Linked DNA regions of Diceros bicornis minor. The protein of the gene in region 2 interacts with the protein of the main gene of each other region in a pairwise test. Links are inferred from orthologs where the notes say so. Each region holds a gene or a part of one and is shown on either strand. Other genes may lie near its edges.

Evidence for each region.
Region 1: the proteins of MEOX2 (region 2) and RPL15 interact in binary tests that used the Homo sapiens proteins (3 or more experiments, as listed by UniProt). The two-hybrid records come from large-scale screens. The link is inferred for Diceros bicornis minor from reciprocal best matches to the Homo sapiens genes MEOX2 and RPL15.

What each region holds. Positions count from the first base shown.
Region 1 is NC_080741.1:29,068,573-29,076,239, forward strand, and holds RPL15 (large ribosomal subunit protein eL15), read left to right. Parts: upstream 1-4,574; 5' UTR 4,575-4,613; intron 4,614-5,239; 5' UTR 5,240-5,262; coding exon 5,263-5,434; intron 5,435-5,875; coding exon 5,876-6,012; intron 6,013-6,850; coding exon 6,851-7,156; 3' UTR 7,157-7,207; downstream 7,208-7,667.
Region 2 is NC_080742.1:42,092,895-42,100,896, forward strand, and holds the start of MEOX2 (homeobox protein MOX-2), read right to left. Parts: upstream 3,049-8,002; 5' UTR 2,987-3,048; coding exon 2,473-2,986; intron 1-2,472. UniProt on the Homo sapiens protein: Mesodermal transcription factor that plays a key role in somitogenesis and somitogenesis and limb muscle differentiation. Required during limb development for normal appendicular muscle formation and for the normal regulation of myogenic genes.

The DNA of each region.
Region 1 (7,667 bases), on a different chromosome or scaffold from region 2:
CCCCGCGGCGTAGCGGCTAAGTGTGTGCGCTCCAGTGCTGGTGGCCCAGGTTCGGATCCCGGGCACAGACCAATGCACCGCTTGTCAGGCCATGCTGTGGCAGCACCCCATATCAAGTGGAGGAAGATGAGCACAGATGTTAGCCCAGGGCCAGTCTTCCTCAGGAAAAAAAAAAAGAAGAGGATTGGCATGGATGTTAGCTCAGGGCTGATCTTCCTCATAAAAAATAAAAAATAATAAAAAAAAGAAAACACAGATGAAAGGATAAGTGTGATTAACCAAAGCATAACTCAAACATTCCAGGTTCCTAGTTCTCTTCAAGTGGGAAACTATACTACTACAGGGCTGGCCCTGTGGCTTAGCGGTTAAGTGCGCGTGCTCCGCTACTGGCAGCCCGGGTTCAGATCCCGGGCGCGCACCGACGCACCGCTTCTCTGGCCATGCTGAGGCCGCGTCCCACATACAGCAACTAGAAGGCTGTGCAACTATGACATACAACTATCTACTGGGGCTTTGGGGGGAAAAAATAAATAAATAAATAAATAAAACACTACTACTACATATAAAGTTGAAGATTAGTGACCTGCCACCATCAATTAAAAAGTTTGAATTCTTTAAAAAATTAATATCTAATGTAAGATTTTGAATGAATTACATTAAATACACATACAAAAATAACTTTATTTTCCAAATATGATCATGATGGCGGGGACTCACATTACACATAAGGAAGTGGTTCTTATGCTTATTTATACTCAGATTTATAAATAAAAACTTAGTTCTATAAGCATTATAATATTCCATAATTCCCAAACAGAATAAATATGCGCCATTTCCTTCCAAGTACAAAAAGGAGGCCATCTGCAGTATCTGAACAAGCACTGAATCACATGAATAGATCCTGGAGGTCGCCAAGCCTCTTATGTAAATCTAGGTTTCAAGAGTTTGAAAGGCTCCAGAGTAGATGAAGGACCTCTAAGGTTCCTTCTAACACTGTGATACTATGAGAGCAGAAACTGCTTACCCAGAAACTGCATCAACACTGAGGTTGACACAAAAAGCAGCAGTCAGAGTTACTTATTATAGTCCCTACCCTAAGAAACTGCTGGACAATAAAATTCAATCTGTGACCTATTAATCCTCATCTATGTAAACGACTAAGAGAAAGGTGCTTAACAGGCAAAATCCAATGCAGTCTTAAATACATATTGCTTTGCTTTCCAAACCAATAGTGTTGCTCGAGAATAAAAACATGACCTGGTCAATATTCTCTTTGAAGAGCCATCAGAAACAGCTTCCCCAAATTGTCAGTACTTCTGTTCTTCTAGCTAAAGAAATTATTCTACTTTTACAGGACACAACTTTTTTATGCAACCACAAAAATATTAATACTGAGATACTGTTAACATCATAGAGAGATGTTATAGACAGATCTTATTATGTAAGCATCACATGGGAAAAACTTCTATACTGTGTAGTTATTTATGTAAACATCATGTATGGTGTGCAATACTTCTACTTATCCATATATGAATACATGTTACTTAAATAAACACAAATTAAAAGGCTTTTGCAAACAATATTGAACACAATAAAATATAATAAGCTGATTCTGGATTACCATTCTTTTTTTTTTTCTTGGTGAGGAAGATTGGCTCTGAGCTAACATCTGTGCCCATCTTCCTCTATTTTGTATATGGGATGCTGCCACACATGGCTTGAGTAGCAATGCATAGGTCTGCGCCCAGGATTCAAACCTGCGAACCCCAGGCCACTGAAGTGGAGCCCTCGAACCCAACCACTACACCACTGGCCGGCCCCCTTACCATTCTTTTATTCATTCAGTAAATATTTACTGAGAGCTTACCATATTATCAGGCATTAGGGACAAACTAGGGGGCAAAACCAGATATGATCCCTGCCCTCAGGAATCTCAAAATCAATTGGAGGGCTGGCCCAGTGGCATAGTAGTTAAGTTTGCATGCTCCACTTTCGTGGCCCGGAGCTCATGGGTTCGGATCCAAGGCACGGACCTACACACCACTCCTCAAGCCATGCTGTGGCAGCAACCCACATAAAAAATAGAGGAAGACTGGCACAGATGTTAGCTCAGGGACAATCCTCCTCAAGCAAAAAGAGGAAGACTGGCACAGATGTTAGTTCAGGGCCAATCTTCCTCACCAAAACAATAAATAAATAATCAATTGGAGATACCAATCCAAATCTTGCAAAACTCCTGAGAAACAGCAAACTGCAAATTAAGAAACAAAACTGCAAAAACTAATTAAGAAATTAGCAGTGATTATTCACATTGCCAGAATCTTTTTTCCAAATGATTTGTAGTCAATCGTTCTTGACTCATTTTTCTCACACCCCACATCTGATCCATCAGTAAATCCTCTGCCTTGACACACATCCAACGGGGGACCACTTACAACCTCCATCACTAATGAAGTGGTCTCAGGCACCATCTTCTCTCACCTGGTCTCTCAAAGATGTCTGTGTCATAATTCCCAAAACCTGTGAGTATTTTATTTTACGTAGTAAAAAGGACTTTACAGCTGTGATTAAATTAAGACCCTTGAGATGAAGAGATTACCCTGGATTATCTGGGTGGACCCAATATAATCACAAGTGTCTTTTTAAGAGGGAGACAAGAGTGTCAGAAAGTGAGAGAGAAAGACAGGGATTTGAAGATACTATGCTGGCTCTGAAGATGAAGGAAGGGGTCAGGAGCCAAGGAATGCAGGTGGCCTCTAGAAGCTGGAAAAGGCAAGGAAATGGATTCTCCCCTACTGCCTCTAAAGGAACACAGCACTACCGACAACCTGATTTCGGCCTAGTGAGATTTCTGACCTACAGAACTATAAGACAATAAACCTGTATTGTTTTAAGCCAGTAAATTTGCTGTAACTTGGTACAGTAGCAAAAGGAAACTAACACAACCTCCTCACTAGTCTCTCTGCTTCCATTTTTTCCCTTCTAGCCTCAAAGCTGCAATCCATATGATCTGTTAAAATGTTAAGCCGCACGAAGTCACCCTTCTGCTCAAACTCTTTCCATTGTTTCCAATCTCAGGCAGTTTGAAAACCCAAAGTCCTCATAAGAACCTTCACCTCTCTGACGTCACCTGCTAGTTTCCCCTATGGTTGATTCCAGCCACAATGCCTCCTTGCTGTTCCTCTATCAATCCAGGCATATTCCAGCCTTGGCTCGTTTCCCCCTGGCTGACCCCACTTCTCCAAGGCTCCCATCCTTCATGTCCTTTCTCAAGTGCTACTTCTCAAGGAGACTTACCCTGAACATTCCGTCCAAAATTTCGACCCCCTCCAGCCCAACACTCCCTATCCCTACTCTCCTCTTACTATCTCTCCTTAGCACTTACCGCCGAACATACTATCTATCTTACGCCCGTTTCCAAGAAAGCTAGAATTTCTGCACTGACCACTGCTGCATCCTCAACAGCTGGAACACTGCCTGGCACATATCAGGCACTTCATAAAGATTTGTTGAATGACTCAATCAACCATGTGAGGTCTCTTACAATGGTAAAGCTGCGATTAAAAAAAAAAAAGAGAGAGGAAAATTGGAAACGGGAAAAAACAACCAAAACCACTAATGATTTAGAAGGTAAACATGATTCTCTGAAACCTTGGCCACACTTAAACTTAGAATTCGTTAAGAGAATTAAACCACATGATTGTACCAAAAATGAAAATATTCTGCAGACGCAAAAAAGCTAGTAAACTATTTTTCGACAAGGAACGCAACACAAAATGCCTGCATTTTCTCGGTATTTCTTCCCGAAACATTCGCACCTGCCAACCAGGTCTTGGCAAATAAATATTTTGCTTTTCTAAAGAACTGTGGTTCTGACGTACCAAATCCGTACGCAGAAAAGGCACGGAAATAGAAAGTGGACCAGCCGCCCGCGCTCCCCCTCCCCCCGGACCTCTTTTAAGGGAAAATCCCTCGGAGTTGGGGCCTGCGGGCGGTAAAGCCAAATTGACCCGGGGGGCACGGGACGCGGGCCCCCACCCGCGAAGCCCCCGCACCACGAACGCCTCATCTGGCGGCCCGGGCAGGGTCGCGGGGGACTGTCAGAGCCACCCCGGGGCCCCAGAGTTCTGCGCCAGGCTGTGGGGAAAAGAGGGACCGCGGAGCACCCGGGATCCCCCAGTGAAGCCTCAGGTGATGAGCCCGCATCGGTGAAGCGAACCCTACACTCACGACACAGACCTGTACGCCTCCGCAGACACCGAGGATAGCGGCGAGCCTCGGCCACTGGAGCCCCACCCCCAAATTGCCTCCTCCGGGCGGCGGGGCTGTCCACGACGCTCACTAGCTGAGGCCTCCCCACGGACTCACGCCTTTTGGGTTACCCCTGCCTCTCAAACTCGAACCCTGAGGCGCAGGGGGCGGAACAATAGAGGAGGCTGCGCCCAATCTCGGCCGAACACCGCCCACCAGGCTCTCTGCCGGAACTACATGTCCCATGAGGCTCTGGGCGGCCGCAACTTTCCACCGGAAAGAGGCTCGCTGAAGTGGGGGAGGAGCCCAAAAGGAATTGTGGGAGAAAGGCTCTTTCCTTTCCGTCTGGCGGCAGCCATCAGGTAGGCTGTGTTGGGGAAGTTGGCTACTCCATCCGCCGCTGATCTCCCTTCCCCTCGGCCATCCAGGCTCGGGGGCCCTACGTCCTCGGAGCGTCTCCTGCCTTCTGTGCGACGCGAGTTCGATCAGGATGTGGGGCAGCGCAGACGTGGAGAGGCGGCCCCCGGGGCGGGATGGGGGGGATGTTGTGATGGCGGCGCGAATTCGAGCTGGGCCTGGAGTGTGAAGGAGAGGGAGGCATGGGGCTGAGGGATGGGGCCGGGCCTAGGGCGTCGTAAAGCGAGGCCGGTGGATTAGGTAGAGCGACTGCTTTTTCCTCGAGAGCTGACTTGGCGGCGGCGCCTTCCCCTGTGGTGTCGGCGAGGTCTCTGCAGGCCGGGCCCTGGGGGACGCCGCTTGCCGCAGTCATCCGCCCCCTCAGTGCCCAAGTCGAGCTCCATTCATTCGTTCAGCAGGAATGTGACGAAGGTCTGCCTGCCCGCTGGGGTCGCAGAGGTGGGGTTGGAGCTGGCTCTCCCTTGTGGTTCGTGCAGAGCCATTTTCATTCTCAGTGGTTGGTGGGGAACTAAGATGGACGGACGGACTCTTCTCGTTAGACGTAAAATGGATGATATTTTTTAATATGCAGGTTTATCTCAAAGGTAAGCCGAGATGGGCGCTTACAAGTACATCCAGGAGCTATGGAGGAAGAAGCAGTCGGATGTGATGCGCTTTCTGCTCAGGGTGCGCTGCTGGCAGTACCGCCAGCTGTCTGCTCTCCACAGGGCCCCCCGCCCCACCCGGCCCGATAAAGCGCGCAGACTGGGATACAAGGCCAAGCAAGGTCAGTGGTGTCTGCGTGGATGCCTGGATGAAATTATATTCCGCGGGAAAAGCTGGGAACCGGTGACTAGGAAAACATGCCATCGCCCCGTGTGTTCCTTCACGTAGGGCTTTGGGAGAAACTGTCTTCGGCTGCAACGCATAGAAGTTGTTGGCCCGTGAATTACCGTGCACACAAGTGTCTAAAGTAGCAAGTGTGTCATAGATTACAAACCTGTGTGAGTCTGGACCAAACCACCAGAAGAGTGTAGAGTGGGAATAGAAATTAATCCACAGCTGTGTGATTAACATGAAGCCAGTCAAACTGGTATTAGTTTTATGTCTGTCAGATACATAGTATTGGACTTGTCGCAAATGTAACGGTGTTGGAGCGTAAGTGACAAGTCATTGACTCTTCCACCCTTCCGGCTTTTGTAAGACGGCTGTGAATTTTTTCGTATAGGTTATGTCATATATCGCATTCGTGTGCGCCGTGGTGGCCGCAAACGCCCAGTTCCTAAGGGTGCGACCTACGGCAAGCCCGTCCATCATGGTGTTAACCAGCTCAAGTTTGCCCGAAGCCTTCAGTCTGTTGCCGAGGTGAGTGGTTTTTGAGGAGGAGTATTGGCACCTCCTGGAGATGGTGGAGGAGGATTTCGGCAACTTTTCTGATTGTTTATTTGTAGACAGGTGAGCCCTATTGTGTTTAAAATGGGCTTTGTAGTTTTTACTAATCTTGGTAGAGAGTTGATGTCAGAGACTCTGTCTCTGTTACTGATTTAATCTGTCTTTGCTCACATATACTGCAAAGGGTGCTTTATGATTAGTGTGGACCTGTGGAACCTAAGCTTTTGAAGGGCAGCAAACTTTGTCTTGAAGAGCACATCTCCCCAGGTGTATAGAAGCTGTGCATTTATTTGTATTGCTTTATTTTCTGTGGTCAGTTGTAAGTTTTCCTTCTGGGTTAGTAAATTAAGCTGTGCTCTGTTGTAGAGGTTAGCAAACAAGGGCCCGTTGCCTTCCATGAGCTAAAAATGTTTTTGTGTTTAAAAGACGACAAAAAGAGACCATTGTGGCCTGCAAAGCCTAAAATAATATGCTAAATATTAAAGTTTTCTGTAAAAGTGTGGTGACTTCTTTATTGTATTAGGAAAAGGTTCCAGAATCCTAAATTTTAACATTTATGCCTTGGGGGGGGTAATAAGAGGAAATGATCTCAGATCAATCCAAGGATATTTAAATACGTTGTTTTACTTAACTAAGTCTGCCTTATCATACTTATGGTCTCAGCCTCTGGGGAGATGCTTAGTAAATATTTGAGCAGCTTAGTGAAAGGCCTCGGTCTCACCTGATGGTGAACTAAAGAGAATTATTGCATCCTAAATTGATACTATGGGAAATGTGGGAGGCTGACTTTGGGCCTTTTTTCCTATTCTAGGAGCGAGCTGGACGCCACTGTGGGGCTCTGAGAGTCCTGAATTCTTACTGGGTTGGAGAAGATTCCACGTACAAATTCTTTGAGGTTATCCTCATTGATCCATTCCATAAAGCTATCAGAAGAAATCCTGACACCCAGTGGATCACCAAACCAGTCCACAAGCACAGGGAAATGAGAGGGCTGACGTCTGCAGGCCGTAAGAGCCGTGGCCTTGGAAAGGGCCACAAGTTCCACCACACTATTGGTGGGTCTCGCCGTGCAGCTTGGAGAAGGCGCAATACTCTCCAGCTTCACCGTTACCGCTAATATAAGTAATGTTTGTAAAATTCTTACCTAATAAACAATTTAGGACAGTCACGTCTGCTTAAAAGTGTTCTTTAATTTGTCTTGTTAAAACTAGTTGTCTGCAGTTTGTTTCATGAATGCATTGTCAAATTATGAAAGTTAAAGTGCAATAATGTTTGAAGACTATAAGTGATGGTGTATCTTATTTCTAATAAGATAAATGCCTTTGTCTTTGCTTTATCTTATTAGGGAGTTTATATGTCAGTGCTTAAAATGCTGTTTGGTATAATAGGTGTAAAATAAATTCTGTAAAAGTGCAGAAACTAGCCATGTAGATTTGTTGGTGCATGTGATGAAACCTACAGCTTTATTGGGGTGATGCATTTCTCTGCTGGATTACTCTCAACTGGCTGTTTTTGGAGTTTGGCAAGGACAAAGTTTTTAAATGGATTTTGCTTGGAAATGTAAAGGATATCCTGATTCTCTATGATCATATGCAGAAAAATAATGAAAGTTGACTAGGGCCCACGTT
Region 2 (8,002 bases):
TTTTTTTGGAAATATTTAAATATTAAACCATGCTATAAGCAATGAGAGACTTATGTGTTAATAATATATCAGAATTATAGTGATTTCCTCCATTGCTTTAGTTTCTGCTATATCAAGATACCTTTATAATACTATGAAATGAAATAACTATGAACGTAAATTATGGAAGACCAAATGCAATATCATCTCAGGAGAAAGATATCTTGAATTAAAATCTACCTAGAGAGCTAACAAATATTAATTAACTTGAACAGTGAAATTGGCACTAAATTTTATTTTCAATGAGCATACATAGATTTAACCAAAAACTATTGTGAAATTTCCTTTTAAATAGTCAAAAGTTCTTTCAAAATATCCCATCAAAGAAAATATTCATTCTAACTCCCCAGTGATTCTATCTTTGGTGATGACTAATTGTATTTCCCACTCAAGATGTAATCTATTAATACTTTATGTAACTGATGCAAACTTTGGGGATTGTTTGTTTTTTTCAGTACTTTAATTATCAGCTTCAACATGTAAAAATAAAGTTATTTTGTTATACGGTTATTTCCCACCAAAACAGGGTTGCACTATTAATATAACCAATTTTTTAAGAAAGTTGTTATTAAAATAATTTAAAGGAACCCACTTTAAATTCTTTAAATTTAAATTAAACCCACCAGTTCTTAGATCCCACTTTCTCTGTTTCTCCCCAACCAAAATAACATGTGCCTATATGAACATTCAGTTTGCCGTAAGAAACTTAGGTGTGTTTGGTTCAGTTCAGGAAGCATAGGAACAATCCATCACATAGGTTTCTCACTGCAGAAGTAAAATGAACAGTAAGAGCTTCTAGTAATTGCAGAAGTGCTGCTGACCAATTTGAACTGGGATCTGCTTCCAAAAAAAGTTACACTGATATCAAATGCTGAGTCTATGAAATGATCACTGCATTCTAAAAATGACCTTTTTTTCTGGTGAAGATGGAAACCTTCTTGTTATGATTAACCTTTTAACTTTGTCTTAAGAGAGTTTCACTTATGGTTAGTAAAAACCATTAAAAATGAGTGATACTGCTGGTAACTTTCTTAGATATAAACTAATTTGTGATGGAGCATTAAAAGTTCACCTCTGACCTTGTAAAGTAAAAGTTAGATTTTAAGTTTGTGATAGAAGAATCCATCTCATACTAACACTGAAGAACAAATGATACTATTGCTGCAAAGGCACATGAGAAATATGCAGTTCAATCATTGTCATTTATGTGGGATCTTACCTAAAGCATTATAAAGGATAAACATTTTCCAATCTTTCAAACCAATACCTGGAATTACCTTCTTAGGACTGTTAAACCAATTCCGCAAAGGAAGAAAAATATGTAAATATTATATTAAATGACCCTTTCCAAAAAGATAGGACGTATGTTGCGCTATTAGCTACAGAAGAAAACTCACAAATTCTCTGATCGTCAAGTATCTTAACAACTTCATAATGATACAGATAAGTAACGGCTTTGAGGAATTGTCCGTAAAACTTTAGTTTCTCTAAATTGCTTCAATTTAGTTGGCAGCCTGTGCCTTCAAGCCTCCGCGTTCAGTAAGCTTCCCGTTTTGCGTGGCTGCTCGAGTTATCCCTACGTAGATCAGCGCCTTCTGCGTGCACCCTCGCACACCAGCCTCAGGCACATAGCGAACTAGCACTACCCGGATTGTCGTTTGTTTCCCCATACTTGTCTCCGATAATACTCAGTTGGAGGAGGATTTTACTTTCCACTTTAGAAATTTAAATTAGCACCACACGAATACAACTACTATTAAGAATCATCACTCTTCAAGAGTCTGAGTGTGTATTTATTTACAATTTTCTGATACGTTCCTTTAAATCCTCTGAATTCCTAGATTATGTCTTCTTCCCCTAGAAAGGGAAATTTTTACCATTTGGAATAGGCTGCTATTTAAAGAACTCTGAAATCAGAATATTTTCAAAAAACGACAACTTATTTTTTCTCATACTCTCTGCCAAGTTCCATTGCAAGTTCCAAATATTGTGCAATAATTTGGAAATCCAGTTAACGATGGGAAAAATCGAGCCACTCGGAGTCGGGAACTTGCAAGGGAAAAGTCAAGGAGCGGCACCCGCACGCACGCCCAGCGGACACTGCATCCCAGGGTGCACTCCCCTCCCCATCGCTCAGAGGAAAGGTCACGCTTCGCAATCGATTTCACATACTGTCACTTGTTCTTTTTTCTTAACTCTCTGGTAAACTAGTTTGAACCTTGGAGGGCTTAGCGCTGTTGGCTGCAGTGTCGCCCTCGGAGAAACACGTGCCCCCAAATAACAGGACCAAAGCAGCCCCGCCGAATTTGGCGACGGGGAGTCAGAGAGGGCAACAAGACGTGTACCATATTCCCTGCCGCCTCACTATAGTGCGAGAATCCTCCCTGTCATCTCTCCGCCCCCTTTCGCCGAGGGTGCCTGGTGCATCCTTACCTGAGCTATCGCTTTTCCTCTTGCCGCCGCTTCTCTTCTCCGCCTCAGCGGGTGACAGCGCCTGGCGGCCGTAGTCCCCAGGCGCGCACGCGGCCCCGGTCGGGGTGCTGGAGCCCAAGCTGGAAGAGTTGGAACACAGGACCGGTGGGCTGCTTCCCAGCTCCGGGGGCCCTCCCGAGTCCGCCTGGAGGCAGAGGCTGTGCCGAGCTGCACTCGGAGGGGAGGACATCTGCGGGAGGTGCCAGTTGGTTTGCAGAGCTTGGTGCTGTTGCTGTTGGTGGTGGTGATGGTGATGATGGTGGTGGTGGTGGTGCCCCCTGTGATGCTGGCTGGCAAACATGCCCTCCTCGTTGGGGTATCCCGCGATTATGCAAGACGAGGAAGAAGTGGAGAGCTCGGGGTAGGACATATGGTCAGATCTTCCATGGAGGGCGAGAGAGGATTGGGAGAACGGGTGCAAGCCTTGCGCGGTGGCGTGAGGGCTGCGCAGGCAGCCAAAGAGCGGGTGTTCCATAGCATGCAAGTCTCGGGTTCCAGGCAGAAGACTTCACGACGAGTCCAAACGCCACTACCCTCTGTCACTTTTCACTGAAAACCGTGTGACTTTTTCCCTTCCCAAAGCAATAACCGCCCGCGTTTCTGCAGAGCTCGGATAATCCCTGTCCTGAGCCCCAGCGGCCAGCCTCCTTCACATATAAACACTCGGACCTGGAGGAGCTTCCCTCCGAACTACTCAGATGTCAAGAGTAGGAGAGGTTGAAGCCAAAAGAAGGTGGTCCCAGAGAACAGCTTTCAGGGGGAAACGGCTCTGAGAGGTTATAAATAGAGTGTAATGTGAGCTGGGGGCTGGCTTAGGAGGCCAGCGCTGACCACATGCAAACTCCCTCCAAAACTCCCGCTCAGTGTGCGCCACGCGCTCCGAGTTCCACTTCCTATCTCCGGCTGGACGCACGCAGCGCGTCCACGCCCGCCGGCCCCCGCCAGCCGCCAAGGCTGCAAGCGGCGCGCCTGGCGCCTAAACCCCAGCCCCGGCGGGCGTTGGCTCTCCCCTCTCGACTCGGTGCACCGAGGCGCGCCGCGATGCCCGCCAGTCGCAACCCCGCGCCCAGTGTGTGGCCCGCTCACTTCTCTCAGGAAAGGTGTCTTGCTAATGCCACTTTGGCACTGTCATCTGCAGGAGAACTAGGGGTGCGCTCAGCTCTTGAAGAGCACGAAAGGAGCAGTAGAGTTGAGGAAGATCAGAGCTAGTTTGGCGCGCGCTCAGAGAAGTTTTTCAAACTTCGCGTGAACTTGTGCCCTGGACCAAGTGACGAGCCTAGCTTTTTGCAGCTGGTATCTGTGGGTGGGTTGTTAGTAGGTTCGGATGCTAGGTCCGAGGTTGCAGGGAAGTTCCCAGCGGGCAAGAAAAGGCCAGTCTCGGTGCCAAAAGGAGAGGGACCTGGTGGGGTAGGTCGGAGGAAAACGTGGGGCGGTGGCAGTTGTCGATATCCAGACCCTGGTATCCTCACCTGCGGTGCCAGGTGTGTACTCTCTTCCCCTGGTTTCCGCAAATGTCGTCTCTGCTTTCCGCAAATTACCTCCCCTCTGCTTTCCTGGTCCCACTCAATTTCCTAGACACTTGTCCACCAAGAACTTTTTCTGGGACAGGAATATTCCGAAGCGATTTCTTCCCGGTCACATGAGATGTGTATACTGCACGCACTTTTCCAGTCTTTTCCCTCAAGAGCCAGCCCATGTCCCCTCATTTCCCTCCAGAAATCCACCCTCTCTTCCGCTGGAAAATAAATCAGCTAATCGCAACCCTTCCCACCCTCCCCCCAACCCATGCCATGGCTCCGTTTATTGAAAAATATTGCACTTGAATATCTCCCAAAGTTCACTATACCTGGGTGCTTTAGGTCTCCTTGGTTACAATCTTGCATCATAGAAAATGAATTAGAATACTTGCCACCAGTGAATTAGTGCGAGCGACGGCTGATACCGCCACTTTTGATGCTGCCACTTGCTTGAGGGGCGACACTGTCTGCTGGGGGCAGAGTCGTTTGTTTACACAAGGCAAGAAAGCCTCGTGTAATGAGCTGCAGAACAGTTGAGTCCCGCCTGGGACCTGTCGCATCAGGAGAATATTGACGCTCACCTATCCCGCCGGGGGACCCCAAATGTGCCACCAGCAGCGTCGCCCCGCTATTTTCATTGTCTCAGGTGTCCAGAGGATGGGGACCAGGTCTTTGAAGTTGTTAATGGGATTAATGGGGACAGCAAACTGCGCCAGCCATCTGGCTTGAATTAGGAAAAAGTATTGATTAATCTGTGAGAAGTGTCCCCAAGGCAGAACCTTTTCCCTCGCCCAGTCCCTCAGGCTTCAGCCTATCTCCCTTTTCTTTTAAGCCGTACTGCAGAATAGTGGCTTCGCAACAAAGCTTTGCATCCATATGTAAGTCCGAATTGTTTTCCATTGCTTAGAGGTGGGGTGAGGCGGGAGTGATCAGGAATTCTGAGATTTGTAAGTGCTGCTTTCTTTAACGGAAATTGAGCCCTATTTTGAGGGAAATTAGTTTTGCAGACTTCGTTAAAAAAAAAAAAAAAAAGCTAAAACTTTTGTTCACCAGCTGCTCAGCTTCTCAGTCTGGGTCTGAGCTGGAACCTGCTGCAAGCGTTTGACGGTAAGACTTTCTTTGCCGATATGTTTTGGGAATCTAATCTTGCTTTAGACTTCGAAAGGGGGTGTTCTTCAGGTTGCACGTTTCTAAGGGTTTTAACCACTCGCAGGATGGCGTCCAGGGCTTAGACCTTAAGAATGTTTCTTTCTGCCACTCCTCATGCCCTTGACTCTTTAAGGATAAAAAAAGAGGGACTATATTCTTCTAATATCGTCGGAATATTTTTTGAATTTTCATTGTGTTTATGGTTTCAATATGTGCTCTGATATTAAAAGTTGAAGTACAAAGAGCCACACTAAACTTCCCAAACTCGGGTAACTAACTACTCCATGGATTCTGGGTGGAAGCATTAAAGGCTTTATCCAAAGAGAAATTTAGGCACCCACCTCCATAAACAGTAACTAGAAATATTTACTGAATATAATGCTGTCTACTAAAAGCATTGTGGAAAATGTCAGACAAGGCTAACTAAAGATACACTTGATCTGCACACATCAATAAAAAACATCCATAAAGGTCCTTTTGGTTTGCATTACAGTGGTTTGGAAGGGGCGAAGCAATTGGGAAATGAATGGATTTGAATTTAACCAGTGTGTTGCAGGTAACTAGCAACTAGCAAACACAAACTTTTCATCTCCAGGAGCTGCCACTTCTCCTTGAACCTGCCCGATGACTGTGCTGGCTTTTTTCTCACTCACTGTGTCAGATGTTAACAACATGTCCAGAAATTTCTCTACAACCTGCCTCAGTCAGCCAGCCTCTGGAATGGTGGGGCTAGAAGTCTGAGAAAGAAAAATTAGAAAAGGTTAGAAAGGGAAGGAGTCTCTTTGAAAGGCATGTAATTAAAACAAAGCTAGCAGGAAAGGTCTTTTTAATTGAAGACACAAAACGTATAATATCAGTAAAAATGATGAAGTCCAGATTTCTAACAGAAAGCATAATATAAGGAAAACGTTATTTGGAAGAGAAAAAAGTGTGATTCAAAGAAGAAAGGAGTAAAAAGGAGGTCTTGATGCATTCCAGAATTAAATATGACTTTTATTTTTTGTGAATTTCCAAATATATATTAATTACTCCATAAAGTTTTTTTCAAAATTTTCATTTCTTAGAATATTTGGATTAAGATAAAATATGGGTTTTTATTTTCTAGGCCATAGAGAATTTTTTCAAAATGTAATAGGAAAAATTTCTAGCGTTTCCTATGATAGCTACTTCAGTGTCCACATCTATAAAATCTGATGTTGAAAGATGCTTTCTTACCTCTAATGGCTAATTATATCAGGAAGAATGGCAAAAATTACAAAATTTATTATAGAGTTTCTATAGCATTCATTTTAAACTATATATTATATAGTATTTATTCTATATTTACAATATACTTGAATTTTCCTGAAAAATGTTCTATTAATACAAATATTTCTTGCAAGGTTTTGATATCAAGCAGCACATTATAACAAGAGGTTCAATATACAAAAAACGTAAGCTGCTCATCTTTTGTAGGAAACATAATCAAAATTATTTTAAACATGTGCTTGGCTCTTTAAATTTGATAAATATGTATATCATTCCTTCTGCTTAATGAAATGATATTCAATAGTAAAGGCAGCGATTTTTTTTAATTAAGACTTTTATTTTAACGGGACTAGAATTTAAATTAAGCAATCTGAAACATTTATTTTTAAATTTATTTTAAGAGTCATGATGATTCTTTTAAGAGTTGTCATTCTTCTATACACTTGTGACATGAGGCATGATGGGAATAAAATATTTAAAATTAAATATTATCTTTAGCTACAGATATCATAAAACTTTACTTTGCATTTTACCTGCTAGATATATTTGCCTTAGTAACATATAGTTATGATATATGAATTTAAGTATGGAAAATTAAATTGAGACTGGAATTTGTCTCTGAAAGTTTTGTTGAGGATAAAAATATTATTTCTGCTATTTCTCCAAGAATAATAGTTATGTCCTTCAGTTGGTTCTTCTGAAATAAAGAATTTTGAAAATATATTAAAATATGCTAAATACTCAAAGGTAATTTATGTGATTTATGATGCACTCCATTTTTAAAAACTAAGGAATTGCCTTTCTCCAGGAATTATGCATTGTACAATTTAAAAAACAATTTTGCTATGGCTAACTCTTGTTATTTAGTAATTCTATATACTTTTACTGATTTTTATAATAAATAACTATTTTTACATAACACTAACTACTGCTTTCGCAATAAAATTTGTTACATTTCTACATATACTAGAAAAAAATGCATACTTACACATTACTTCTGAAAAGTGTAAAACATCCAACATACTTTGTTTTTCTAATTTCTATCTCTTCCTACATTTGTGATTTCTTTCAGAAATTAGTGTTTTTCTTCAATTCAATTGAGGTACTATATAGTAAATAATATTCAGAAAACTAGCATGAAATGTATATTATGACTGATAAAATTAAATTCATAAATTTAATTAAAAATTCAAAATATATGCAACCTTCCATGATTCCCATTGATTTCCACATACATTTTATGAAATTCTAATTATCTTTTTGTGTGGGGGGGGGAGTGTTAAAATTATGAAGATATTGACTACCTCTCAAATTTTAAAAGCTTCTATCTGAACTTCCTTTTGTCCACCTGTTTTAAACCCAGAATTATTCAACAATGTTACCTCATAATGATGCACATGGGGAATAGTTACATTCAATTCCTACATTTTTATTTGCATTCACCTTTTATGTTATTTTTATTGATTAAAGTACACATTTCAAATTTTTATAGTTGAAAATTTCCTCCTTTACATATCCAATTATAAGAGGGACAGGCACACTAAAGCGAGACAGTTCTATAATGCAATGCTATAAAT